Linked DNA regions of Mus musculus. The protein of the gene in region 1 interacts with the protein of each later gene in a biochemical or structural test. Links are inferred from orthologs where the notes say so. Each region holds a gene or a part of one and is shown on either strand. Other genes may lie near its edges. The genes, in order: Khdrbs1, Hck, Fyn, Fgr, Rasa1, Fnbp4 and Nck1.

Evidence for each region.
Region 2: the proteins of Khdrbs1 (region 1) and Hck interact in a biophysical measurement, tested with the Homo sapiens proteins (2 studies listed by BioGRID and IntAct, with this or other methods). The link is inferred for Mus musculus from reciprocal best matches to the Homo sapiens genes KHDRBS1 and HCK.
Region 3: the proteins of Khdrbs1 (region 1) and Fyn form a complex in vitro, tested with the Homo sapiens proteins (4 studies listed by BioGRID and IntAct, with this or other methods). The link is inferred for Mus musculus from reciprocal best matches to the Homo sapiens genes KHDRBS1 and FYN.
Region 4: of the proteins of Khdrbs1 (region 1) and Fgr, one has a biochemical effect on the other in vitro, tested with the Homo sapiens proteins (2 studies listed by BioGRID, with this or other methods). The link is inferred for Mus musculus from reciprocal best matches to the Homo sapiens genes KHDRBS1 and FGR.
Region 5: the proteins of Khdrbs1 (region 1) and Rasa1 form a complex in vitro, tested with the Homo sapiens proteins (2 studies listed by BioGRID). The link is inferred for Mus musculus from reciprocal best matches to the Homo sapiens genes KHDRBS1 and RASA1.
Region 6: the proteins of Khdrbs1 (region 1) and Fnbp4 form a complex in vitro, tested with the Homo sapiens proteins (2 studies listed by BioGRID and IntAct, with this or other methods). The link is inferred for Mus musculus from reciprocal best matches to the Homo sapiens genes KHDRBS1 and FNBP4.
Region 7: the proteins of Khdrbs1 (region 1) and Nck1 form a complex in vitro, tested with the Homo sapiens proteins (3 studies listed by BioGRID, with this or other methods). The link is inferred for Mus musculus from reciprocal best matches to the Homo sapiens genes KHDRBS1 and NCK1.

What each region holds. Positions count from the first base shown.
Region 1 is NC_000070.6:129,721,600-129,725,371, forward strand, and holds part of Khdrbs1 (KH domain-containing, RNA-binding, signal transduction-associated protein 1), read right to left. Parts: intron 1,180-3,772; coding exon 1,046-1,179; intron 1-1,045. UniProt on the Homo sapiens protein: Recruited and tyrosine phosphorylated by several receptor systems, for example the T-cell, leptin and insulin receptors. Once phosphorylated, functions as an adapter protein in signal transduction cascades by binding to SH2 and SH3 domain-containing proteins.
Region 2 is NC_000068.7:153,107,004-153,111,326, reverse strand, and holds the start of Hck (tyrosine-protein kinase HCK), read right to left. Parts: upstream 2,860-4,323; 5' UTR 2,635-2,859; coding exon 2,573-2,634; intron 1-2,572. UniProt on the Homo sapiens protein: Non-receptor tyrosine-protein kinase found in hematopoietic cells that transmits signals from cell surface receptors and plays an important role in the regulation of innate immune responses, including neutrophil, monocyte, macrophage and mast cell functions, phagocytosis, cell survival and proliferation, cell adhesion and migration.
Region 3 is NC_000076.6:39,526,606-39,530,377, reverse strand, and holds part of Fyn (tyrosine-protein kinase Fyn), read right to left. Parts: intron 3,598-3,772; coding exon 3,448-3,597; intron 942-3,447; coding exon 777-941; intron 460-776; coding exon of another isoform or gene 304-459; intron 1-303. UniProt on the Homo sapiens protein: Non-receptor tyrosine-protein kinase that plays a role in many biological processes including regulation of cell growth and survival, cell adhesion, integrin-mediated signaling, cytoskeletal remodeling, cell motility, immune response and axon guidance.
Region 4 is NC_000070.6:132,972,573-132,976,931, reverse strand, and holds the start of Fgr (tyrosine-protein kinase Fgr), read right to left. Parts: upstream 2,838-4,359; 5' UTR 2,662-2,837; intron 193-2,661; exon of another isoform or gene 1-192. UniProt on the Homo sapiens protein: Non-receptor tyrosine-protein kinase that transmits signals from cell surface receptors devoid of kinase activity and contributes to the regulation of immune responses, including neutrophil, monocyte, macrophage and mast cell functions, cytoskeleton remodeling in response to extracellular stimuli, phagocytosis, cell adhesion and migration.
Region 5 is NC_000079.6:85,251,272-85,255,043, forward strand, and holds part of Rasa1 (ras GTPase-activating protein 1), read right to left. Parts: intron 1,273-3,772; coding exon 1,155-1,272; intron 1-1,154. UniProt on the Homo sapiens protein: Inhibitory regulator of the Ras-cyclic AMP pathway. Stimulates the GTPase of normal but not oncogenic Ras p21; this stimulation may be further increased in the presence of NCK1.
Region 6 is NC_000068.7:90,762,423-90,766,194, forward strand, and holds part of Fnbp4 (formin-binding protein 4), read left to right. Parts: intron 1-998; coding exon 999-1,123; intron 1,124-3,407; coding exon 3,408-3,512; intron 3,513-3,772.
Region 7 is NC_000075.6:100,543,156-100,547,727, forward strand, and holds the start of Nck1 (cytoplasmic protein NCK1), read right to left. Parts: upstream 2,980-4,572; 5' UTR 2,950-2,979; coding exon of another isoform or gene 2,302-2,949; intron 1-2,301. Other genes in the region: Gm46139 (synapsin-1-like), read left to right, coding at 2,302-2,949. UniProt on the Homo sapiens protein: Adapter protein which associates with tyrosine-phosphorylated growth factor receptors, such as KDR and PDGFRB, or their cellular substrates. Maintains low levels of EIF2S1 phosphorylation by promoting its dephosphorylation by PP1.

The DNA.
Region 1 (3,772 bases):
TCTGCCTTCACTTCCTAGGTGCTGGGATTATAATTGTGTCACCATACCCTGGCGTTTGCATAGTGCTAAGATCAAACCCAGAGATACATGCATGCAAGGCTAACACTCTATTAACTGTGGCACATCTCTAACTCTAAAACTGACTTCAAAATAATAATATACATTTAAGGACCTAAACCAGAAGATTCTCTGGGCTCAATCGTGGATCACAGCACCTCAGACAGGTCTACTTTCTGAATAAATATTAACCACAATGAATTTTAATTCTAAGAGCATATCATATAGTCAAGCTTGATGATGGCCTATGACTTCAATCACAGCACTTGGGAGACAGAAGCAGGTGGATCTCTTTTGAGTTTCAGATGGGCTTCATCTACGTAGCAGGGCTACATAGTGATTAATATCTACTTTGGTTTTTTTGAGACAGGGGTGATTAATATTCTTTTTTATTTTTTAAGATTTATTTATTATATGTAAGTACACTGTAGCTGTCTTCAGACACACCAGAAGAGGGCATCAGATCCCATTACAGATTGTTGTGAGCCACCATGTGGCTACTGGGATTTGAACTTAGGACCTCTGGAAGAGCAGTTGGTGCTCTTAATCTCTGAGCCATATCGCCAGCCCAACATTCTTTTTAAAAAAAAGAAAAAAGGCAACTGGGGATGAATGAGATGGCTTAGTAGGTAAACACACCAGCTGAGTAAGACTGACATTCTGAGTTCAATCCCCAAGACCAACATGATAGGATTCCTACTACTTTGTCATTTAACTAACATATCCATGCTCACACACTCTCCCCCCACATACACACACACACCACCACCACCACCACCACCCACAAATGGATGGATGAATAGATATGTGATTTTTTTTTTAAATGCTAGGACTTCCCAAATTAAAAGCCCCAAAGTTTCAGCAGGACTGCAGCACCTGACTCTGGTCAGACTGCTAAGATCGAGAGCTCCATACCTGATGTACTTCTAAACCCTAACCCTCCTCAGTCAGTCAAATCTGTATTTATTTCCTTTTCAACTATTGTTACCTGGGAACAGGTGGAGGAGGAGGGGCAGCTCCTCGTCCTCTCACAGATACCCCACGACCACGAGAGGGTTCAGGTACTCCGTTCAAGTAGGACAATTCTAGAAACTGCTCCTGACAGATATCATCCATCATATCCTGGGAATTAAAGACAACAAAGAATACGTGTAACATCTGCTCCTCCTCCTAAAAGTCACAAGGCCCACCAAGCCTTGGATCTTAAGAAGAGTCTTGAAGCTGGCAATAATGGCACAGATCTTGATCCCAGCACTCCTGGATGTAGACACAAGCGGATCTCTATGACACAGAGGCCAGCCTAGTCTCTGGTTTTGAGTTCTAGGACAGCTAGAACTACACAGTGAGATGAGACCCTATCTCAAAATATCACTCCCAAAAACAGTAGCCTTGAAAGCCTAGATAAAGTCGCAAGTCAAAATTCTTTGATGTCCAATTACACTATCAGTTCTTTGAGGAAAATCTTGGCAGCAGACCCTTACTAATAAATATAGTTCTTCAGAAAGAAGTTCCTGCCTAACTCTCCCTTGATCAATTTCTTCCTCTACACACAAAACTTACTCAAGAAGCCGGGCAGTGGTGGCACACACCTTTAATCCCAGCACTTTGGAGGCAGGGGCAGGTGGATTTCTGAGTTCCAGGCCATCCTGGCCTACAGAGTGAGTTCCAGGACAGCCAGGGCTATACAAAGAAACCCTGTCTTAAAAACAAAACAAAACAAAACAAAACACAACACAATACAACCAAAAAACCCCAAACAAACCACTTACTCAAGAAAAGCCAAACAACCTATAACTCACTGCCTGGATTAGTCTCAAATACATTCTTTGCAAACATTTCCTTTTCCTAGACTAGAAGACACTACCATTAATGAAGTTCTATATATTGGTTGCTATATAAACAAGCTTTGTATGGATTTTTCAGTTTAACTGTCAAAATAACCCTGCCAAGATCTCATTGTACAATAGTGAACTCTGCTCCTTACAAGACATGCTAAGGCCAGGAGTAAAGCTAGGTGGTAGAATATATCCCTAGTCTACACACAAAGCCCCGAGTAAAATTCTCAATGTGGCCACAAAGGGCAAAGGGGAAGATCCTCTTTTCTGTTGTTGCCAAGCCATACCTCTTTCCCAAATACCATGTTGTTCTCACCGTCCAGGTATTAAATACCATTTTATGTTTGTTTTTCTCATAGTTGAGATCTTTAAGAGCCATTGTGCATGCATGTATATGCCACAGCAGGTGTGTGGACATCAGAAGACAACTCGTAGAGTGCCTTTCCATCTTCACATGAGCTGTGAGGCTTGAACCCAGTAATCCTGCTTCTGTGTCAAATGCTTTCTACTCTACATACAGAGAACATAAAATCCTCCCATTTCCCACAAGAAACATTCAACCTTAAACCAGATGAACTGTTATATATTTTGAACACTACTTTAAGAATGACATAATTAGGGCTGGAGAGACGGCTCAGCAGTTAAGAGCAACGACTGTTCTTCCAGAGGTCCTGAGTTCAATTCCCAGCAACCACATGGTGGCTCATAACCATCTGTAATGGGATCTGATGCCCTCTTCTGGTATGTCTGAAAGCTATAGTGTACTCATATAAATAAAATAAATAAATCTTTAAAAAAAAGAAAAGAAAAAAAAAGAATGACATAATTAGAGCAATGTCCCTGGCAACTCTCCACTTTCCTTGACCTTACATATCATTGCTATTTCAATTAGATAGTTAAGTACGAATGCCCAACTCATTCCTCAGGAGTCTCCAACTGTCACATTTGTCAATTAAGATAAACTTCAGTCTACTATAAAGTATGTTGTACATATAAATTAATTTTGAGGGGCTGGAGACATAGCTTAGTAGGTAGAGTGCTTGCCTAACATGCATAAACAAGCCCAGGGTTGGATACAGAACACACAAAATCAAATGTAGCAGAGCAAGCCTTTAATAATACCAATCGAGAGGCATAAAGATCAATGAAGTCAAGGGCACCCTCTGTTACTCAGCAAATTCAAGGCAAGCCTGGGCAACAATAAAGGTTCTCAACAAAACAAAAACCAGGGTTTATTTAAACTGGAGTCGCAGCCTCCAGAAACCTCATTATGTATTTGGAAAAAATCCAAAGCTGGAGGGAGGGGGATTCCCAAACATTAAAGAACAGTTCAGATAACTGATATTTTACCTGTTCCATAATCAGGTGACTCTTAAGAATTATATACCATTTTCTAAGCATGATTAAAGATTAATCAGAGCACTTAGGAGACAGAGGCAAACAGAGCTCTGCAAGCTGGAGACCAGCCTAGTCTACACAATGAGTTCTAGGCCTGGCAGAGATACACAATGAGACCCTATATCGAATAAAGAAAACAAAAACCAACAACAAAAAACAACAAAGAAAATTATATGCCATCAATAGTCAAGCCTGTGACATACACCTCTTCTAAATCAGACTCTGAATAAACAAATCTCCACCAGAAGAGCCCTTCAGTATGCCTCATTAGAAATTAACTCATTAACACTGGATGTTGTCAGCTTCTGGTGGTTAACTCTACATTTAAGAGTCTAGGACACAGACTTCTTAACTGCAGACTTACCTTAGTCATTTTCCTAATACCATCTCCTGATTGCACAGTAATACCAGAATAGTGAACTGAATGAAGACCTTATTAAATCTGTTAAGCAAACTGTTAACACATCAGGGACTCAAGAGAC
Region 2 (4,323 bases), on another chromosome or scaffold:
GACTAGTGATGCCATCAATTCAGAGTTATCAAAGAAAGGCTTTCATATATAAGCAAAGATATACAGGAAGTCAGTATTATCTACAGTTCAGGCATCTGCCAGGATTTCAGGATACATCCCTTGTTGACTGAAGTTTTATTTTGTTACAGACAGGGTCTCATAGCCCAGGCTGGCCCCAAACTCTTGCTATAGCTAAAGATGACCTTGAATTTTTGCTCCTCCTGCCTCTACTCCCAAGTTCTGGGGTTGCAGGTGTGCTCCTACATCGGGCTCTGCTATAATCTTTACACCACAGAGGACACATTTGTTTATGGAGACACAGACTGGAAGGATTGGTTTTCAACAGCAGTGTCTCCTATAGAGGTAGAAAGAGAGAACTGAGAGGGAACCAAACCAGGGACTTTGATTTTACCCATTACACCTAGTCATTTTACTTTTTAAAGTCTGAAGCAAACATGCCCCCACACTGACATTAGTGAATTAGTTAATTTTGGGTGGTGAGTTCCTGGGACATGGGCACATATTCCACTAAACAGCACCCTTCCTCCTCCAGAGAAGGGGCATGGTGAGAAGGGCACTAGAGAGCAACTGCTCTCTTGTGAGGCCTCTCTGGGTCAGTCCTAGGCTTGGGCAGTGATTCTCAAAGTGAGATTTCTGGGCAGCATCAGCAGCCCGGAGGTTGCCAGTTCTCAGTATCTTTCCCTAGGCCTCCCTTTGGTGGTTGCCCTAGCAATGCACATTTTAACACCCTTTCCTGGTGATGCTGGTGTGAGAATCTCTCGGGCTGGACGGGAACAGTGGAAAGAACATCTAATAGGGTTCTGAAAGTTTTCCTTCAGCCATCTTTCTCTCTTCTCCGCCCCTCTTTCAGATTGTGTGTGTGTGTGTGTGTGTGTGTGTGTGTGTGTGAGAGAGAGAGAGAGAGAGAGAGAGAGAGAGAGATCACATGTGTGCAGGTGCCTACAAGACCAAGCCCAAAAGACGGTATGAGATTCCCTGGAGCTAGAGTTATAGGCAGCTGTGAGGTGTTTCTGTTGTTGTGAGCGATCGGTGAGAACTTAGCTAGCATCCTTGGAAAGAGCAGTGAGTGCTCTTAGATGCAGAGTCACCTCTTGGGCTCCCTTTCCTTCAGTTTAATGTCACCTTCAAAAGTAAGGGAACTTCCACAAGCCTAAATCCGAAATGCTCTAAAATCGGAGACATTTTGGGCACCGACAGGATGGTCCAAGTGGGAAAGTCCACACCTGATCTGAGGCTATCAATTGATGTAAAAATGGAGGAGCCATTAAAAATGTGTCATTAGTTATCTCTGAGGGATGAGAATGAAATGTGTGAAAATCTCGGGCCAGGAAGATAGCCCAGTTGGTAAAGTGAGTACCTTGCAAACAGGGGGAACTGAGTTACAACCCCCAGAACTCCTGAAAAAAGTCAGCTGGGAGGAAGGACCCTTGGGACCCACTAATCAGCCGGCCTCACCTACCCAGCAAAAGCCCCAGGCCGATGATAGACCCTGTCTCCAAAAGCAAGGTGGCCTTTGCTTGAAGAACAACATAGAGTCCTCTGGCCTCCACGTGTGTAGGAACCCCAGAGTACACACCAACCAGTGAACACATACAGAAGCACGTGTAACATACACAAATGTCTCTTTAAGACCTAATTTTCACTCCAGGATGCCTCGCTGTGCACTTGACATACAGAATTCTGCCACACTCGGAAATCCTAAACCCCTCTGATCAGGTGTAGTTTGGATAGGGAACATTCAACCTGTCCTCTTACCATCTCCATCCTGCAGCTATGCAAACAGAGGCACAGACAAACCAGGCTCTCTCTCCAGTACCCAGCAGCACTGCTCCCCTTCTCTGGACAACTCAGCTTCAGATGAATGTAAAACAGCCCATTTTACAGAGTTGGAAGCTGGAATCCAGAGAGTAGCCAGTGACATGCCCCAGTGTCACACAGAGGAGATGGTGGTAGATTGTGGTCTTTGTGTAAGAGGTTCTGGAGTTGGATGTACGCCTGTTAGGGGTTCAGCTGGGAAGGCAGGGGAAGATGTAAAAGAGGGGACTCAGATATACACCTATAGCCAGGCCTGGGTGTGGCAGGCATGGGCTTGTCTTGGCCGGGCTGTTCCTTTAGCCATGGCTGCTGTCTACCTGCGTGACCTGCCACCCACCCACCATCAATGGGAACTGAACGGGCCTTTCCCTCCCCTCCAGCTTCTTCTTCTTGGTGTGTGTGTGTGTGTGTGTGTGTGTGTGTGCAGAAGGGGAACCTGGTTAGACAGAGAAGCCTCAGCTCAGCACTGCCATTCCCCTGCCTGAGCTTCCTCTATCTAGGGCTATCCCAGGGTCGCCCTGGGTGGCGGCAATTCGCCTCACCTGGCCACCTGGGTACCCTCCACCTTTCGTAGACTGCGCATCCCACCGCCGGGGATCGGTTGCTCCTAGGACGGGTTCTTCCTTCCTCGGCACCCCCACAGCTCGCCCAGGATCTCAGATCCCTGGAGCCCGAGGTCTGCACGTTCTCGGGGACGGGGGTGTGTCCCATTCCCGCCCTCTCACCCCGCACTCACCTGGGCGCCCGCCCTTCGCTTCGTGGGCAGCCCGGATCCTCGCAGCTAGACCGACCCCCCAGCGCTGCGGCCCCTGGTGGCCCCGGACTTCAGAGCCCGGAGCAAGCGACGAAGACTTGCGGGCTACAGAGGCTGCGTTGGCGCTCGGAACGGGTCAGAGCCCCCTTCACGGGCGACTTTGGTCCCCTCCCACCCGTCTGAGAGCCGCCGCGGGGAGTGCAAGCTGGGAGCCGCAACCCAGTGGCGCTCACTGGCCATCTGGGCGCCTTAGCCGCACCCTGGGTGATGCAAACCCCGCCCCCAAATACCCCGACTCCGCCCTCTAAGAGCCTAACTCCCACTCTGGCTCTCTTGTCTCCTGCTCTAAATTCACCTCCAAAGAATTTCAGCATTTCTTTGCTAACCCTGTCCTCAAGGGCGCTAACCAGTCCTTGAAGGACTTACTCAGACACCAAGGTTTGACCCGCCCTCCCAAGATTCCCAGTCCCCCTCCCCCACTAGTGCGTTTAAGCCCCCCATGATGTAATGAGCCTGTCCAAAGGATTCTAAACCCTATCCCCAGAGATTTTGGACCCCTACCTAAGAGACCAAATACCCTTGGATTCCCTAAAGAATTGTAATATTTTACGTTTATTGTTTGACTGGTTGATTGTTTCCGTGTATGTGTGTAAGTACCCTGGAGCCTCAGAGCGGTGTAGAGGTTAGAGAACAATTTGGAGGACTAGGATCTTACCTTCCACCTTCCGAGTTCCGGGGACTGAACTCAAGCAGCCACGCTTGGCACCAGGCGTCTTTACCTGCAAAACCATCTGCCTCCTCCTGGGGAAAGATTTTCAATCTCACTTTCTATTCTGTTCCCAGTCCTAACCCCTACAAATTCTCTAGATTTGTAATCAAATTTTCTGAAAGGGTTTTAATCTCGAGAGCGCGCGCGCGCGCGCTTGTGTGTTCTAGAGAATGGAATCCAGGGCCTCTCTCTCCGTAGTTTGTACTACAGCCACCAGCCCCCTACGAGACCTTAATCCCATAGGTCCTAAATCCTGCACTGGAGCAATCAACCGATCCTATCCTTCCTTTCAAAGATCCTAAACCAGCCGCAGAAGGAATGTAGCTCCCTTTAAGTCTAACCACGCCCTGATAAGTCTAACCTCTCCCTCTAGGATTCTGGTGGGTCTCCACCGCCCTTCCACTTCGGTCCCTCCCACATGCAGCGGTTTTCCCTCCACCCGCCCACCCACCGCTTATTCAAACTCCATGCAAAGTCTGGCGCCCGCGGGAGTTCTTTGCCTTATTCTGGGCTGAATATGGGACTGCTCAGAGGACCTCCCAAGTTGAAGAGAGGAAGTCTTACTGGCAGACCACTGAGGTCCTGTTTGCATGGCATATTCCACTCAGCCTGAGACATCATTCAAAACGACAGGGACCAACACTCTCTAAACTGCAACACACACCTGCAGAAACGTACAGGAGTCCTCCCTCCTCTAGCCAGGCCAGACCACCAGTATCTCTCATTCATTCGCTTACGCGTGCATGTAGGCATGCGTTTAGCAGTACTATGTTTTAAGTATGAATTCTGAGCGCGAGCGGTGTTAGCAGCTCTAGAGTTCCACCCGCTAGGCCCAGTAGCAGTTCTGACAACCAGAGCTGCCTCCTACACAGCCTGGTCCCCAGCCCACGTAGAAATCCCAGTCACCCAACACTAATGTGTTTGCTATGTATTTTAATATATTCATGCCCTATTTCTAAAAATA
Region 3 (3,772 bases), on another chromosome or scaffold:
CAGGCTTGGTGTGAAGAAAGCCCAGGACCTTACTCTATGGCATCTTACCATCCCATTTCACAGGAAGAGAAAGCGTCACCATCACTGGGTTCCTGTCCTGCAGGTGTTTAATGAGCCACATGAAATAGGACAGGTGAACACAGCGAGGTGCCACTGACTTCTGCAAACCTGGGTGGCTTGAGCCCATCTAGTCACAAAGGTTAAGGGTCTTTGTCCCAACGGCCACATACACATTTCTGTTCAAAACTGTCCTTTTCATTGGCTTTGAGATGCAGCCAAAACAGAATGTGCCCTCTGCCTTACCAAGCCACACTTCAGCGAAACACCCCTGCCCCAGCTTCTTCTCCAGAAACAACGAGTCACGTGCAACTTCCCAAGCATCTTTAGCCAATCCAGAAGTTTGTGGGGTACAACTTGATGAAACCACAGTTAAGTTAAAACACAAACCATCAGCTTTCTCTACAGGAAAGGGAATTAATAAAGAAAACAGTCCTTATAATCCATAATCATGCATGCACTAGGAAAGATGGAAGGTGACTTCCCTGACGGCAACATTGAGCCAGGTTGGAACACTGTAGCACAACTGGAGACAGCTGTAGTTCTTGCCTGTTTCTAGCTCTCTTTGAGAGATTCCAAATTTTTCCAAATAAAAGTTGAATAATTCAAACTGTCTGTTTGTCCTGATCATAAAATATCTTTATTTCCACCTTCCATCTTGATGTTTGGGATTTTCCAAACGAGGAAGCTAATAAGAGAGTAATTGAATCTCAGCATACCCATCCATACTTCCCCAAACTGCCCATTTCCCAGTCTCTTGATCAACTGCAGGGATTCTCGAGGGATTTCCCAGACATCTTTGGTTTTGACAGACAGATCGGTAAGCCTTGGCATCCCTTTGTGACAGGGAACTACTAGGCGGCAGCAGAGACCTGCGGCTCTCTCTGGAGGAGCAGGGCAGCGGTGAGGGAGAGAAGAGCAGAATATGTAACGACAACACGCACAGGCCACAGGAGATTCGACGCACATGAGCAAACATTTGCTGGAGGCAGATGAGGATGTGTCAGATATGGACACCGCTGTACCATCGGGCATGCTCGCTGCTCACAGGCACGGCCTGCTTTGGCTTCTGTGTACTTTAGTCTAATGAACTCGTATTCACTGCCTCAAATTCAAAATGCCCTTGCTACTTTCAAAAAGTACATATAAAAATAAAAACTGTCCCTGTCCCTTCCGGTATCTAGGGACTGAGGGACTCTCCCTGGTAAATGTCTGTTTAAAATGTGACTTTGGCATAGGAGCCTCCCACAGACCTCTGGTCTGTTAGAGCTAGCCGGTCTCAGGAGGACACCTGCAGCGGGAGAGGATGTCACATTCTCTGCAGTCCTTCTGACTCTACTGCTCCTGTGTGCTCACATTGCTTTTTTGCAATTTTCCACTAAAAGCAAACAAAAACAAAAACACGACCTTTTAAACAGCTTTCTATGCATAATTTAGGAGTCTGGATTTAAAGAAGTAATGGAAATTAACAACATTCACAGAAACTCAGTGACATGAAAAGCAGGGAAACAGTAGCTTCCATTCAGGTTACTGGGAACTTGGTCTTCCCCCACCCCTTCTTTTTGAAAAGAATATTCCTTTGAGAATCTAGCAAAGGTATGGGGAGACTGACTAAACGCCAACAGAGAGTAAGCAGGCAGGGAAAGATGGGGGCCAGAGAGACCCTGAACCGAGGGGGCCAAAGCCCCCTACGTCCCTGGAAGCCTCTTGGATTCTAAGCACAAACTGTGGCTGTCTCTTTTCTGGGAATTCTTAACTTACTTTTCATTCCTTTTTTTTTTTTTTTAAATCTGTTTCTGAGATGTTTAGGCAGGAAATTATTTATGTGTCGGTATTTCAAAGGCATTCTATGTGCAAGAGAGAAGAGGAAAGAGGAAAAGCCAATATAAAAACAAATCTAACTCAAGATGGATTTTTTTCCCTGAGATTAAAACTCGTCTAGGGTGCTTCACATCGGCTCCCTCCTTCAGCTTTATGATGTTATTAAGGTGCCCTTTCCAGCACACTATTTTCAAATGATCCAAACCCTGGGGACCCTGCGGATGTTTGCCTGTAATGAAATATATTTCAGCATTTGAAAAAAATCCTTATAACATACAGGCGTTTTGTGTATATCACTGAAGTGCAAGGAGGTTTTCTGCTCCATTTCTCTCAGTATTTCATTAGAATCCACATAGAGTGAGAGAGCTAATGCCCAAATCACTGGCTCAGCCACTGTTAATTTCTTAACTGCTCATCAGTGGCCAGAATCAGTACATAGGCATTTCGTATTGTTATTTTTAAAAGGCTACAAGTCTCTTTGGTGTGGCAGAAACAGCACAGGTATTTTTCAATGGTGGTAAAAAGGGTGTGGTGGCTCCGTCCGTAATCCCAGCATTTGGGATGCTGACACTAGAGGATTGCTCAAACTCTGAAAGTCCACCCTGGGCTACAAAGTGGATACTGGGCTCCCTAGGGCTACAAGTGAGACCTTACCTTGGAAAAAAGGAGGGGTCATGTACACATGCATTGTTTAGCAGGACACACTTGTTAACCAAGGAGGGCAAGCGGCACACACTAAACACTGCGCATAGAGCTACATATTTACATAAGACGCACATGAACGCACATACACCCAATAACTGAATGGCCAAGAACAGCAGAAGAACAGGATTATGGGACGTAAAGACAAAGTCTAATCTTTGTTTAAAGTCATCACAGTAGCCGGGTATGGTGGCGCACACCTTCAGTCTCAGCAGTAGGAGGCAGAGGCAGGGGGATTTCTGAGTTGGAGGCCACCAGGGCTATAGCGAGACCCAGTCTTTAAAAATTGAAAAAACAAAAACAAACAAACAAACAAACAAAAAACCAAGAAAGTCCAGGAGATGGAGGTAAGGGAGCTGTGGCCTCAGCAGGCAAGCTGGGGGGGGGGGGGGAGTGGGGGCGGGGCGGAGGGAACCCTGCAGCAGCACAGATTTTCTTCTACAGAGTGCAAGAATGTGCTTCCCTCTGCTGCGGTGAAGGATCAAGTGAGGCTCCCTGGGGGCCGTCTGAGCCTGCCTAGGGACAGCTCCTTTCCTCCTTTCCTCTCACAGTTCTGCATGGCAATGAAGGCAAAGGTAAAGAACGTGCAAGGATTTTTATTATGAAAATTAATATACAAATACAGCTTTCAAGATTTAAACTACTGCCTTCTACTGGGGGGAACTTCTGGAAAACACAGGAGGAAAATCCTATCTGGGGCAGAAGAGCAACAGAACCCCGGACTCCATCTGTCTGTCTGACTGTGGGGGTGGGCGGGCAGAGGACAGCTCTACCTAGTGACTCTGTCCCGTATCTCCTCCTCCTCCCTCACAGCCTCCAGTTTCTAACCGGTGACGGTGACGGTGACGGTGACGGCACTGGGGTTACCTGAGTAATGCTGTACCAGTTGCTGAAGTGTTTCAAACTGGGCCCGCGTTGTGATATAGTATCCACCATTGTCAAGCTTGCGGATTTTATAATGTTTGACGTGGTCCCCTTTCATATCATCCCAATCACGGATGGAAAGTGAGTAGGCACCTGGTAAACGTGCAAGCATTAGCCACACCAATCATCGGAGCCCCAGTCTGCTCTGCAGGCCTCATTTATGTGACTATTCTGATTAATAATTATTACAAACCATATGCGCACGCGCACACACACACACACACACACACACACATACGAAAGAGACAGATATATCTCCACTCTGTAA
Region 4 (4,359 bases), about 3.3 Mb from region 1:
GGGCAAGTGGGAGTCTAAGGTGTGAAGGCATCACCATCCCTCACCGCATACACTCAGAGCCCTGACTGTGGGCTTTCAGGATCCTCCACCGTCCTTTCACTGAGCACTGATACCTCCTTCTCCCTCACAGAGGCTCTCATGGCTCACTAACTTCCTCTCATTTTACACCATCCTTTTTTGAGAGTCACAGCTGGTCCAGTCCTGACACCATCTTTGTACTATCCTAGCTCTTCCCCCGACACGGTCCTTAAGGTGTCAGCTGAGTTTCCCCCATTTGTGGTGGGTAAAACTGGGTCTATCTGGCCTGACACAGCAGTCTGAACCTTAAATCCCAGCACTTGGGAGACAGAGGTAGGTGGATCTTTGTGAGTTTGAGACCATCCTGGTCTGTACAATGAGTCCCAGGCTAACCGGAGTTACACAGTGAGACCCGGTCTTAAAAAGACAGAGCCTCATGATGGTGATGGTGGTGCATGCCTTTAATCCCAACACTCAAGAGGCAGAGGCAGGCGGATCTCTGTGAGTTTTGAGATCAACCTGGTCTACAGAGTTCCAGGGTAGCCAAGGTTACACAGAGAAACCCTGCCTCGAATATCCAGGAAGAGAGAGAGAGAGAGAGAGAGAGAGAGAGAGAGAGAGACCCCTGCTGTCTGTGGTGGCCCAAGCCTTTAATCTCATCCCTTAGTCTTGAGGGAGTGGGATGGGGCAGTCTGCTTTCCTTACCATCGGCTGACCCAATGTGCTGTGTGGAAGAGACTTGGCTCTTCCTTCCTCATCTCTGTCTTCCCTGTCCCTTACCCAGCCTGTCAGGGCTGGTTACGTCCCTTGTCACTTCAACCTTAGGTAGCTTCCGAGCAGCCCCCACCCCCCACCCCCAATAACCACACAAAAGCAAGCACCCAGGCGTGAACACATTCACTTCAAGCCCACAGCACACTGGGGAGCACCCTCACACAATCTCACTCACAGCTTCAAGCCTGCTGGGGAGCAGGAGCTGATATAGGCAGGAGCCCCCCTCCACCTCCCCCTCTCTTGGGTCCACACAGCTTGGCTACCCCCTCCACCTTCCCACTACAAATGGAAGGATGCTCATTGCATCCAATTCTAGACTACAAAAGGCTTGCTTGTAGGGTGGCCACCTGGAGAGTGGGGTACAGATGCGAACCCTGCTAACCTTCTTGGAATGGGCCCTAGTAAACGTGACATTTAGTAGATGCCAACTGTGTGCTGGTTCTCAGAGGCCCTGTCAGCGAAGCTTTCTGGTCCTCCATGCTTTGAGAAGGCAAAGAACTGTGTAGAGCCAGCTGGCCTGGATCTGATAGAACTTCATCTGCCTTCTCCTCCATTCTCCCCTCTCCTCCCCGCCCCACCCCTTCCCATTCTATTTCTGTTTCCCCCACCCCACCTGTCTTTCTGCTTATATCGCTCAAGGTGGTCTTGAACTCGTGACAACCTCCCTACCTCTGTTTGCTGGATGCAAGGATTATTATAGGCATGAGCCACTAGGCACAGCTTTGGTATGGGGAGGGCTAGTTTCTTCCCCAAAGTTCCAATGAGAAAAGCAAAAGTCCAGAGAAAGCTAGCTCTCCTTGAGGTCTGCATAGCAATTAAAGGCCCATTCTTGCTAAGAGAACATGTCTCTGAGGCAGGAGACCCCTGAACACCAAGCGGCACCCTCTCACTCCCTCTGTGGTGCAACACACCCGGATCAAGGACCAAAAATGGGGACGAAGGCAGGGACCAAAGTTGGCTGCCAGCCTTGAGCCTGCAGCGGCCCAAAGCCAACTGGCCTCACTGCCCTGTGTTGCCATGGAAACAGCCCCTGCGGGCATTGGCGGTCAAAAGCAGGATTTCCGTCGGGGCTGCCAGCAATTCCCGGATCCCGACAGGGACGCAAACCTTGACCGCCACTGCGGATAGGGAAAAGCACCCAGGGAGGTCTGATGCCCCAGGGTGAGGTCTTCCCCAGGAAACCCAGATCCACGCCTCCAGCTGCTGGAAGGAATCCCCAGGGTGTCTGGAACCCGCTGCCCCACTGATGTAGCTAGAGGGTCTGGGGGGAGTTTGCAGACTCCCCGCTTCCCTCTGAGGAATCCAGATAGCCGGCCTCTGAGACCCCAGAACTGCACTCTGGACTCCGAGTTCTGCAGAAGTCACTCTCCTAGACCCCCTTCTCGGGAACTCGCGACCGATTTCCTCAGTATCCCCTCCCCCTTTCCAGTTTCCCCACCTACTACCCCTCTCTCATACCCCCTCAGCTTCTTTCCTTTTTCTCCTCCTGAAAGCCTCTCAGGGCTCTCCCTAGACGCTTTTGGGGGATCCCACAGTGCCTTCCTGTACTTTCAGCCCTCTCCCCAAATTTTATCAAATTTACAACACAGTTTCCCTCTCTTTCCCCATTTAGACTTTTAGGGGGAATTTTTGGTCTGCCTTCGCCGTACTGCCTCGGCCTTCTCCTAGGTTTTTATCAGCCTTTTCCAGCTTTCCTTAGTTTTCCTTCTTCATTTCCTTTCTGAATGGGATCCCCACCCCCATCTCCCGCTTTCAACTTGCTCAGCTCTCAAAGTTCAGGTTTACCCCCAAATCTTCCCTCCAAGGTGAGGACGGTTAGGGGCGGGGCAACATTTGCCCTACCAGCCCCCACCGGGTTTGGCCGCCTACCTGGTCTCAAGGGAGCCAGCTGCGGGTGACTCGATCTGGGGCGAGCCAACCCTAACTTCCAGCAACCAGGAGAGGCGATGTGGGGGGTAAAGTGAGGTGCTACCCGCCTCTGCCCCTACTACCTACTCTGGGGAGGGAGGAGGAAGCCGTCTCGGACTTCTCTTATTTTGGTGACTGCGGAGGAGGAGGCGGCAGCCAGAGAAGTCGAAGTCACGCCTCAGCCCCTAGACTGCTGCCCAAAGCCAGGAGGGGCCCCCAGATCCAAAGTCCGCTGGCTCCCACTTCCCGCTGTGGATGGGCTCTCCCAGCGCTGTCCCTGCGCCCCAGCTCCTTCCCAAAGGTTCCGGCCAAAGGGACCTGTCCCTTTAGTTACTAGAGTGGGATACCAAGGGGGTGGGGGGTTGGCCATCCCAAAGGCTCCCACTCCCCACTCATCTCCTAGGTAGGAAAACACAGAGCCAGGTCAGGATAACTTGGCCCAAGTTCACATAGCCTGTAGCCTTTACACTACTGTCACTACATTTGCCAGGGATCTTTTGCCTGTCACTTATACCCTGCCGCCTCATCTTTAGGAACTGGGCGGTGGAGATAAGGCCCTTGCCTTTGGGTACCTGTTTTTCACAACAATCAGCTCCCATCAGGCTACTGCCACACACAAGTTTTAGAGAAGCTGAGGAGAATCCTTAATCAATCACAGTGTCTCTAGGAGAGCCCTCCCTATACTCCCCCAGCCCGATACCCACCCTCCCTTTAAAACCAAGAGTTATTACCAGTATTACCTCTCTAAAACCAAGGTGCACTGAGACCCAGGAAATCCCCCTGCCTGGGGAGGGAGAGCTAGGGTTGAATTGGAAATGTTTGTGGGAGGGTGAGGGCTTAAGGCATGGAAGATTCAAGTGGGTGTCCCCGGGGCTATACTGATGATAGGCGATGACGATGCGTGACTGGGTTTAGAATCAACAGCTCGGACACATTATGCAGTCAGGTGTGCTTCTGTGTACAGACAGGGGTGTAGGGGGCTGTGTGTGAGCGCCCTAAAGTACAAGTTCAGGAGGATCATGGTGACACACACGGTGTCAGCAAGTGATGGATGCAGATAGGAATGCTTCTCTCAATGAGCCATGGCAAACACCTTTAACTCCAGCACTTGGGAGGCTGAGGCAAGCAGATCTTTGTTGAGTTTGAGGCCAGCCTGGTCTATGGAGTGAGTTCCAAAACAACCAAGGCTACACAAAGAAACTCTGTCTCAAAAAACCAAATAAAAGTGCTTCTCTCTTAGGAAAATATGAAGTGGGTGTAGGAGGAAGAAAGGAAATGTAGTGGAGGTTCAGGGACTGTGGGAGGGTGGCTTTACCCTGCCTGGATAGCACTGCCACCATTATAGAGCATCCTCTAAGTTGGCCTTGGCCATTGATCCATGTGTGCAATTAACAAATAAATGTATATCGTGGCCAATGGGAGCCCAGCCATAGGGAGCCCAGATACAAAAGGAACAGCCGCACCAGCTGCACTCCCAGCTACTCAAGAGGATGCTTGAGCCCTGTGGATTGGAGGACAGCCAAAGAGGAGTAGTGATTCTCTACCTGAGAGGAGGGAGGAAGGGAAGAGGAGGAGGAGGAGGAGGGGGAGGCAGAGGAAGGCAGGGAGATAGGACAGGAGAAGGCAGAGATTAGAGGAGATGGGAAGAGAAGACAGAAG
Region 5 (3,772 bases), on another chromosome or scaffold:
TATACAAGGACTTCTCTTAATTAGGGCCTCACTAAGTATTTAAAAAGACTAAAATCAAACATTCAATGAGTGCATAATTCAAATTAGTGTATAATAGGCAAAAGGAAGTCTAACATAAACAAAATCTAAAAATTTATAGGAAAACTAACATATTTATAAGATGCTTGAATCTGATTGTTCCTGTCTGTATACCTCTTCCAATGTAGAATTCGGAATGCTATTTAAAGAACTGGAAGTTATAATCCTAGATCTTGCATTATGTTTGTGACTATGAATACAGGATATATCACATAATTTCCATAACTCCTTCCAACTTTCCTCAGTATGTTTTATGCATGTGAATCAAGATCTAGTTGTCAGAATAAGCAGACAAAACAATTAGCAGCAAAACAAATTACTCTACCATCTTCCACACAGGGCATACATAGTTCTGGGGTTCCATAAAAGATCACAGAAAGCCATTCTATTCTACCACACAAATCTAAGAGGAAAATGTAAATTCCAAAATTATAATGTTTAATACATTTTGGTGGTGTTGAATATTGTCTGTAAAGCATGAACATTGCTTGAGTGCTAATTTGTACTAATTTGCTAAATATATTGATGATTTAAATTATGTACTAAGATAAATAATAATGTATGATAGCAAAGAAAACAAAGGGGAATATTCAAACTGTAGAACTTTGGGGTTATATATGAATAATACAATTAAAAATTTCTAAGATTATTAGAATTATACACATATTTGAAAAATTATACCAAACATACAACTATTTAAAATTCTGAGTCAGATATACCTAATGAAGAAAAGAAGCACAAAAAAATTATCGAAATAAGTACAAGTGATAGAAATATTGAAGTACTTTGTGCAAAGGCAGATATGTATTATAACATACTAACATACTTTATTTCTTTACAAATAATCATTTATTAACACCAAATACACCTTAAAATTTCTTTGCATTTGATGAATTTAAGCATTTGACAAGAGAAAATTATTTCTGTCTAATGACCCAGAAAACAGACTTCTAAACTTTTATAAAGAACTTGGGATCTAAATGTAAATGAGTTAAATACCTAATAAAAAATGGAAAAAAAAAAAAAAAAAAAAAAGAACTTGGGATCTGAAATTTAGAAGAACAAATGAAACTTACCACCTCTTCCACTAGGTCTTCAACAATAAGGCCTTGCTCATCTGTTCTTAGATTGGTAACCCACATCCATCCATCTTCTAACTCATTGTGAACAATGAACATATCTCCTTTTAAAAAACTACAATAGCAAATGCCATTACTATCTTAAAAATGAACATTTAAGTAGTCCTAAACCATTAGATATTATATCTGAAATATGCAAAAACACTTAAAAAACAAAGTTCTATGCTGTTTCTAGCATCTTTGTTTGTGAAACTGAAGACAGTAAACCTGAATCCTAATTTCATTATATGTACAATTTAATTATAGGTTTAGTAATAGAGTCTGCTTTGCTGGATTATATTCAAATTAGAATTCCTCTATCTACTACCTACTTGCTATATTAGACTCAAACTAAAATTCCTTTAAATAGTAAACAATTACTTATGTATTATAAGTAGTTCCAAGAAAACTGAATTTTAAAGTTTCCAAGTTTCAATGTTGTTTATTATATGTATGACAGATGTAATAAAAAGCAATATACACTTAAGATATATATAAATATGTATATATAAACATATATACATATTTATATATGTGTTTGAGAGGATTGATTTAATAGAACTAAGGTTTATTAAGTATTGAGCCCATACTGGAAGAATATTGAAAAATATAAAAACATATATATTTATATTTATATGTATCTCCTTTAGAAAGGGAAACAAAGTAGCATTAATTAGCATCTATAATTACATCTTAAATTTGTTTGATTCAGATGCCTATTGTTTAAAGAGTACAGCACCCAGACATGGTTAAAAGGCATCTATGCTTTTTTCCCTGCTATGTAGTTCAGAGAGGATGTGCACTACTTAGTTTCCTTTTTGCTACCTGGATGTTTTCAGGCTCTACACCATCAAGGAGGCTTCAGTTGGCTGTATGTCAATATAAAATCACCAAGAATTCCTTGCAGTTTTCCTTCCAGGATTAAATGAATGACTCTAAATATCCTTCTGGTTGGATGCTGCCACTGACCATACACCTATAAGGTATCTTCATATATTTTTCAATATTCTTCCAGTATGGTCTCAATACTTATAAACCTTAGTTCTATTAAATCAATCCTTCTCTCACACACATAAATGCTTTCGTTTTTGCCTAAATGACTCTATTTTCCTCAAATTTAAAAAACAAAGCTTATACAAAGGAGAACTTTTATAAAACACTCTATATCCAAAAGCCAAAAATTAATGCCATCTCAATTCTAAAGTCCTCCTTAATAATACCCAAGATTTTCCTAGATAAATGGAAGCTGATTTTATCATTTAACCAAATACATCTTTCTAGAACCACTTTCCCTGCTACTAAGATAACAGGACCATACCATCACACCTATATGGAATTGTTTTATCTTCTTGTTTACTACAAGAAGTTCTAGATGCCTAGTCAAAGATCAGAACACAATGTGTTTTGCTTGCTCATTCAGACATCAAATGAAGCTATTTTTATTTAGCCAGAATTGATCACTTTAGGGTTGTTACTTTAAAGTACCTGAAGTTTTTAATACCCAAAACGTTAGCACTATTATTGTGAAGTCACAATGAAAAATAATTCCAATCTCATGGGCTTTGGTGATTAATTTTATGTGTCAAGTTAACGGAATGTCAACCTATATGAAGCATTACTTCTGGACTATTCTACATGAATCAACATTTGAATTCATACATTATGCTAGTGTAGCTTGTTTTCCTCCATAGAGTAGTTATCATCCAGTCCACTAACTGTCTGAACAGAATAAAAGTAAGATGAATGTTTCCTTTCCTTATCCCCCTTGGCCTCACTGTTTCCTCTGAGCTGATTCTTATCTTCTGTCCTCAGAGTGGGATGTACTCTGACTTCCATGGTCTCTCCAGGCTTCCGTACTTAAAATTACAGAAATGAGTCTCCTGAATCTGTTCCAATTCTTAAAATAAACCTTCTCTGGAGAAACCAAGATAACATATGGACTATCTAAGTGAGTCTCAGAACAATTAGATGAAATAAAGTTAGAGACTGCAACCTTGGATGATCAGAGTTGAAATTTACAAATTTTCTAAAATTTACACTTCAATACTACTAACTTCTATTAAATAACTTTCTTCCTTTTTATTAATTGTATTCATTTTCTCACATTATTTTATAAATAAATGTGTGGTAATAAGAATTAAATGAGAAGGCATTAGCTTGACAATAATTATATAAAAATGAAACCCTTATTTGAGATTCAAACTATATCTTTGTTTTCTAATACTAATTTCTAAAACTTTTAGTCCACAAAATATTTTTGTATTATAATTTGCAGTTATTTCAAAGAGAAACTATATAATCAGTAATAGCCAAACATTTTATAGTTAAAAACCAAGGATTCTATTGAATGATTAAATAGCTTTTTAAAAAAAGAGAATTTGATTATAAGTTTTATAAATAACTTAGGAGTCAAATAACATACAAAAACTATAATGCTCCATGATTACACAATATTCTTGAAAGTTAAGATTGTTTACTCATTATGTAAAATTAAGACAATTATTTCAGCAAGATTTATAGCTGAGGCATAAATGTAATGGGGAATAAAAACAAACTGATAGATAGATAGATAGATA
Region 6 (3,772 bases), on another chromosome or scaffold:
ACAAAACTATATGAATCTTTTTTTTTCTAATGTATATATGAGTACACTATTGCTGTCTTAAGACACAACAAAAGAGAGCATCAGACCCCATTACAGATGGTTGTGAGCTACCATGTGGTTGCTGAGAATTGACCTCAGTACCCCTGGAAGAGCAGTCAGTGTTCTTAACCACTGAGCCATCTCTGCAGCCCAACTATATGAATCTTTATTTTTGTTTTGTTTGTTTGTTTGTTATGATTTTTCGAGACAGGGTTTCTCTGTGTAGCCTTGGCTGTCCTGGTACTCACTCTAGACCAGGCTGGCCTCGAACCAGAAATCCACCTGCCTCTGCCTCCCGAGTGCTGGGATTAAAGGCGTGCGCCACCACGCCTGGCAACCAGCAATATGGATCTTGATGGCTGTAGACCTTAGCCACTTCAGGAAGGCTGAATGAGTTGGATGGGGTTGGGATGTTTGATTGATTGTTTGTTTTTGAGATGTCTCTGTAGCTGTGGGTGACCTGGTACTGGCCTATGTAGACCAGGCTGGCCTTGAACTCATCTCTGTCCAAATGCTAAAGTGTGCCACCATGACTGCTGGTGGTGAGGTTTTGGAGGCAGGAAATTACTTTGTAGTCCATACTGGCCTGAAACTTGGATCCTTATTTTTCCTAAGTGCTAGAATAACAGGCATCCCACCTCTCCCCATGCCTGGCAACTGACTTTGGCGCCTCTGGTTCTAAAAGCTTGTCTTCCTGTTTCACCCAATTTAGTCAAGAATCCTGCTCATTCCAAGTTTGATATTTAGCTTTTGTAGAAATTGAAGTGTTTTTGAAAGAAAAGAGAGAAGGAAGACAGAAACCATAAGGTAAATGCAGCAGTAGAGCAGTGGGGTTGCTGATGGACAAAGTGGGCAAGAAAGAGTGCTAATACTGTTTTTCAGGTGTGTCCTGCAAAGACAATAAAATGCTTTGGACCTCAATTGTTTTGACTTAATTTCATGGAGTTTTTGTTTTGCAGCAATTGGTGCTGAAGATTCCGAAAAAATAGATGAAATTTCAGACAAAGAAACGGAAGTAGAAGAGTCTTCTGAGAAGATCAAAGTCCAGCTAGCACCTAAAGTGGAGGAAGAGCAGGACCTGAAAGTACGGAGTGTGGGACTTGGCTCGGGGTGGGTCTGGGTCTGCTGCATCTACTGATGCTGCCCTGAACCTCGGGCTCCTGCTGTCTCAGTCTCCTGAGTGCCAGGATTATAGGTTCAGTCATTAAACTGCAGTTAAATACTGTTTGCAAATCATAAACTCTACTATGTCCAGACCTAAGGCTTTCACTTTGTTAGATTAAAAGATTCCATTTAAGGCTGAAATAAAAACTTTGATGCTGAGAAATTATGTGAAAATTATTAATATTTACTTTCTTTGAGATTAAGCTTTGACTGGAAAGAATGAATCTACTGATATAGGCTTCTCAGATTTATAAGTACTAAAGAGAGGAAAAGATTTAGTTCCTATGTGAAATACTTGTCTTTAAACAAAGACAAATTTGTTTCCAATTGCATTTGTAACCTCATAATAAAATCTTCTGGTTCACAAATGATTTATAGCCAGGATCCCATGAGATAGAATCAAATCTGAACTGTTTGGGTCTTTGTTGTAAAGCAAAGCAGCATTTGTACATGCACATCCTTCATACATGTTAAATCCTTCTAGGCTGCTTATAATACCTAGCACTATGTTAGGATTTGTGCATATCATATGTATATGATTGCCTGAATGGTTCTTTTAAGACATTCTCTAGCTCAGGCAGTCTTAGAACTTACTCCTCCAGAGCTTAGACTTCTTGAGAGGATTATTGGCTTTTACTACCACACCTGGCTTACAGTGCATTGAAGAATATGACCAAAAATGTATATGCATCTTGAGTATAGGCAGATTTGTCAATTTTGGGTTTTTTGTTTTGTTTTGTTTTGGTTTGGTTTTGGTTTTTTGAGACAGGGTTCCTCTGTATAGCCCTGGCTGTCCTGGAACTCACTCTGTAGACCAGGCTGGCCTCGAACTCAGAAATCCGCCTGCCTCTGCCTCCCAAGTGCTGCCACCACCGCCTGGCGTTAATTAAAATTTTTAGTCTGGTTGGCTCAATGTGGCTCTTTAAATTTAATTTGTTGTGTTAAAAAAAAAAAACAAAAACCCTGTAGCATAGTATTTTTAAAGATGTTTGATCACTAGTGTTTTATGCAGCCATGTAGAAGGAGTGGAAGGGGATTATTTATTTATTTATTTATTTATTTATTTTGGTTTTTCGAAACAGGGTTTCTCTGTATAGCCCTGGCAGTCCTGGGAAGGGGAATTTTAAGGCTTCTGCATGGGGCTAGTAGGTGATAGTAGAATATCAATTAAGATGTCCTTCATGCAGCTCTTTGAGGTATAATTGACACATTTGCCATGTGTCCCATTTAGATGGTTTGCTTTATCTCTATATAGATATAAAATATAGAGAGATACTGATATTATTACAGAGCCCGCTAATAAGTTGTTACCGTACTTTCTTTGTGTAGAGGTGTTAGAATATTTGATCTGAACAAATTTCACCTGTACAGTATGGTTGGGTTGGTTTTTGTAGATTGATTGATTGGTTAAGAGTACAGAGTTAACACTCTTCACACACACCAAAAGAGGGCGTCAGATTCCATTACAGATGGTTCTGAGCCACCATGTGGTTGCTGGGATTTGAGCTCAGGACCTCTGGAAGAGCAACCAGTGCTCTTAACCGCTGAGCCATCTCTCCAGCCACTCACATAGTGATTTTTCCTTCTTGTACCTAAGCTGTCATTGGAACACTCTGGTATGGAGACAGACAAGTTGACTCACTGGCTAAAGACGTGGGCTTACAAGTCTCATGTCCTGGCTCCAGTCTCCAGGAGTCTTGTGGTAAACAAACGAAAAGTGCTCTTAACTGCTAAGCCATCTCTCCAGCTCCTACAATATGGTATTATTAATTATAGTCTCCATGCTGTACATTAGATTCCCAGTTTTATGGATGAAAGTTTTTACTCCTTATTATTCCACCCTCTCAAAACCACCACTTTGTGTAAATTTGATTGTTTAGGATTAGGATCTTTGTTCCGCTGTTGAAATCCATGTGTGCGTACATAAATAAACATTTTAGGGCTGGTGAGATGGCTCAGTGGGTAAGAGCCCCCGACTGCTCTTCCAAAGGTCCGAAGTTCAAATCCCAGCAACCAAAAAACATTTTATCCATTCTTTTATGTGATTTTTTTTTTTTATAAATTAGAGGCCTAAACATAACTAGTTACAATCATCTGTCTGTAGACAATAAATCCTACTACCAGTAATAATAAATGGGAGACTATGCATAGTATAGGAAGGAGTGCTGGAGTTCTGGGTTTAATTTTTCTGTTCTCTGTTACAGTTTCAGATTGGAGAACTGGCAAATACCCTGACAAGTAAATTTGAATTCCTAGGGATTAATAGGCAGTCCATCTCCAACTTTCACATGCTGCTCTTACAGACTGAGGTAATGCAGCTGGTTTGGGTGTGCATGGCATTTTGTTGTTGTCTTATTTTTGATTTACTTGTAGCCGTGGTTGGCCTAGAGCTTACTATACAGAGCATCAAAAATCCTCCTGGCTCTGTCTCCAATGTGCTGAGATTAAAAACTTACTTAATTTTATAGAAGTTTTATTTTATTCATGTGTCTGTGTGCCATATGTGTTCAGATACCTACAGAGGCCAGCAGACAATGCCAGGTCCCCTGACCTGGAGGTAAAGGCATTT
Region 7 (4,572 bases), on another chromosome or scaffold:
TCCAGTGTTTCAACAACGTTCCATGATATCATGACACAAATCCATATAAAATTAAAAAGCAAGGGGAAAAAAAAAGTCAGCTGGGGAAAGGATGTTTAAGAAAAAAGCACAGCAATAACTACACAAGCAAATGTCATCACAAAACACACCGCTCTGTGCGCTAACTTAAAAAGAAAGAGGGCGTGCGAAACAAACAAACAAAGACTCAGTTTAACATAGGTAACAGAAAATCTTGACAACCTTCACTCAAATCACAATTAAATTTCTAGGGACTGGAAAGATGTCTCCAGTTAAATTCAAGTATGGTTCTTGCAAAAGATCCAAGGCTGATTCCCTACAACAGGAGGCTTGTGACCCCCTGTAAGTATCTGACACTTTCTCCTGGCCTCCCTTTTCAGGCACCTGCCTCTTGTGCACATATCATGCCCTCAACATACATACAAGCACACACTTTTTAAAAATGTTTAACAATATGTAAAACAATGTAACTCTGGATGGGTGTCAAGATGCCTCTGTAGTTAAAGGTACCTACAGCCAAGCCTAAAAACCTGAGTTCACTTCATGGGACCTCTGTGGGGGACAGAGAACTGACCCCTCACAAGCTGTCCTGACTCTGGGTGTAGAAAATATAATAACCAATCACTTTTTTAAAAAATAGAACTTTAGACTGATGATACACCTCAAAGGTTTATGAGAAGCCATTGGTCTCACCCCAAAACTGAGGGAAGGCAAAAGAGACAGGAGAGGGAAAGAGAAGAGAGGGCGGGGAAGGGAGGAAGGAAATTAAGGAAGAAGGAAAGCTTAGCGAACTTTTCCTTTGCAAAGTTAGTAGTTTGCAGAGAATGTTTCTGTATTAGGACAGATGGCTCAGTGGTTAAGAGCTCTTGCAGAGGATCTCTGTTCTGTCCCCAGAGTCCACAGCACATGTCGTACAAAACACTACAAAACACATAAAATAAAAATAAACCCTTAAAAGACTGGAATCTAGAGGAAAGATATTACTAGTGTCTAAACAGTGAAAAATATGTTCAAAGTATTATTTTAAGATCAGCACAGGCAGAACACATTTGAGATCCTCCAGGCAGAAAATCCAGTTAGAGTTACTGAGTAGTTCAGAAACTGAAAAACAATATATAAGAATACAAAGGTAAGATTTTTTTTTTAAAGAAAACAACTACAAAAAAACAGTACAATGTTAAGGTTTATGTCTGGGTTCCTGAAAGCATGCTACTAATGTATCGCTAATGAAAGACAGCTTGGAGGCGTGGGGCATCAGTTGTGAAGGGAAGACTTTGAAGTTCTATTTCCTTGATAGGTTAAAGTGAGAATCAGGCAGGCCTGTCAAATTGTCGTCAAACTGTTGGATTTGTTAAATGCTCAGTTCACGTTTCCTCCAATTTTACTTAACAGTGAAATAATCATTTGATTTTCTGGCATTGAAAGCATCCATTCTTCCACATTGCCAGAGTTAATTCATTTTTTTTCAAGTTCTCCTGAGAAGGAATTTATTTACAATAATAATCACAACAAGCCTTGAACTCTAGAACGAAGTTCTCAAATTAGAAAATCAGCAGCATAAACTATCACTCAATGTTTAATAAGGCAATACATTAACGTGTCGACTTATTAATACACGGATCTGTTGGGCTTGGAAACCTAAACAATTTAAAATGCTTGCTGGGGAGGCAAATCTTTTCAAACATAATGCTCATACATACAGCGGAGACATCAACACAATGTACGCTTTAGTTACTCTAGCCAATTCCTACAGAAGTTTTCCCAGAGAAAGCACCACATGTGGCCACGATGAAAAAAAAGTACTAATCAACCAACGCATACGCTTTGACTTAACTATCACGATGTGAAGAGAATATCTATTTAAAAACAAGACTGAAAATGATCAATCAAAACTTTCTCCTTGGACTATTTCTCTGTTCATGTTGTGACGTCGCTAAAGGCTGAAAGCACACAATTGATTTCCAGGTGCTTAAGAAACCGTTAAGGCTGATTGATCATCATCAAGCTACCAAAGCTTTTGAAAATGGAACGCTTCTTGCAAAACTTGACCCGTTTTTTTGGCCGAACCCTGGATTCTCACTGCTCCCCACCCAAGATGGGGTCAGGAAGTTTTCTTCATCTCGTTCTTTCCTAACTCCTGTGAATTCTTTCCTAACTAAGGGCAGTATTTTTCTTCGGGTGACTTCAGCTCGGCTCGACGTTAACCGGTCATGTTACGGTCCTCAACCCTGAACAAAAAACCAGCTTCCTTCCAACCCAGCTGTTAACACTGAACCGACCTAGCACGGAAACCCGTACGACAACAGTACGAAACCAACCCAGAGGACTGCTTTTCCTGGACCAACCCCACCTCAACAGCCCCCGGACACCCACATCTCTCCTGCTCCGGAACGGGAGGGGGAGGGGAGGGCGCGCCCCGAGGATGTCCCCCCTCTCGGCTTCCTCAGGCTGGCGGCTGGAGGTGAGAGCGCCCTTCCTGCCAGCCTACCGTCCCGGCCTCGGACACCGACACAGACCGCCGACAGGGCTTTCTGCGGAGAACCGCCGAGGCAGCGCGCCGCACACTTGCCTGCCCGCCTCCCCGACCGGCGCTCGCAGCTCAGGCCAGAGGCCGCGGGGTCACCGGGCTGCACCGCGGACACCCGAGCTCCGCCGAGCGGCCTCCCCGCCCCCTCCGCTCCGCTCCGCCGCCAGCAGACGGCGCCCCCGGGCCAACTTCGCCGGGGAAAGAGGAAGCGACTAGAGACTAGCAGGCAGAGCGGACCGACCGGGAGACCGAAAGGACTGTGCGTGTGTCCGCACGCGAGCGAGGCCGTCTCACCTTCCCTCCGCCGAGCCCTCGGCTCCAGTCACCTGAGGACCGCACCGGGACGCCACCGCGGCTGCCCGGATGCCGTTACCGCACGAGGCCTGTGCTGCGCCGCCGCGTAGCTCTCGGAGAGGGGCGGGGCGCGCGCAACCGGTGGGCGGACCGTTGCGGGCAGGAAACCCGCTCCACGCCCAATCTAATAGGCTCCATCGCCTCCTGCGCCCGCCCCTGACGCTTCAGCGGAATGCGCCGCTCCGGGATTGGGCGAGCGGGCTTGTCAATCAAGCGCGGGCCCTGAGTGGTCCCTGAGCTGAGACTGCGCGGCCTTTGGACAGAAGGTGAGGAGCGCCGGGCCCCACCGCCCTGTTCTCCCCTAGCCTCCTCGGTGGCTGCTTACTTTCCGCCTCTCCCACTGCTACTAAAACCTGTCATTCATTTTAAATCGCTCATTAATGTCGAACAGCGGTCCCGAGTTCAACCCAGACTACTCTGGTGCCTGCATCTGAAAGGGCCGACCAGCTGCAGATCTTAGGGACAGGGAGCGACAAAGAAAATGAAGCCTCGGGGGAAAAATGTAAGATGTTTGTTAATGAAAACCACAACCAAAATAAGCTTTGCGAGCAACTTCCGAGTGCCCTGGCGCGTGGGTAGCCTTCATTCCCGGCTTCCAGTCCTGTGAAAAGGACAGTTACTTCTGCCCTAGGGGTGAGTATGGCAGTGGCACAGTCCCAGCCACCTGCCAAGGAAGGCATCAATAAATCGGCTCTCCTTCCTAACTTGCCTTACAGCGACTCATAACCTGCCTCACTATTTCCCAATCACCTTTGTTGCTTAGTGTGGGTGTGGCACCTAAAAGAAACATTCTAGGTTAGGTAATTTTATGGAAACACGAGTTTTTGCCTCCAGCGTAGCTGCACCCATATACCTAGATTGCAAAGTCTATTAAAAGAACTGTTTCACCCACGCCCACCTCGTGCCTAGCACATCATCCTCAACAATCGAGGAATTAATACAGCTTCCTTTCATCTTTTAAAAATTCATTTTTATTCTTTGTGTGTTCGAGTGTTTGGTGTACTTGTGTTATACTTGTGTATAATTTTGCTGCCCATGGAGGTCAAATGAGGGTATAGGATCTTCTGGAACTGGAGTTACAGATGGTTTTGAACCACCCTGTGGGTGCTGGGAATCAAACTCAGGCCCCTTGGAAGACCAGCGCTCTTAATCACTGAATCTCAGCCCCTTCCTTTAGCTATACTACAAGCCCTACCTGTAAATCCTAAAAAGTTGTTTTCTGCTTTTAACTTAATTGCATGTTAATAAATACATGGGTGGCCTGCCCTAGGTAAAATACAAGTTACCTGTAGCCCCTTTTAATCCTGAGTTTAGTTGAGAAAAGTAGAACATAAAACTGGGGAAAGGATACTCTGCCTATTGTTAGTATCAAAAGTAAGTAATGCAAATTATATATTTAAAAACATACATACCGAAGAGAAGGGGGTGATGCATGCAGAAGCAGGTGGATCGAGGCCAGCCTGGTCTACAGATTGAGTGTGAGTTCCAGGACAGCCAGGGCTACCCAGAGAAACCCTGTCTCAAAAAACAAAAAGACAAATATATATATATATATATATATATGCAGAGACAGGTTCAAGTTCTGCAAGTTCAAGGCCACCCTGGTTTATGTAGCAAATCCTAGGACAGTCAAGGCTACATAGAGAGATGCTATCTCAAAAGCAAAAACATAC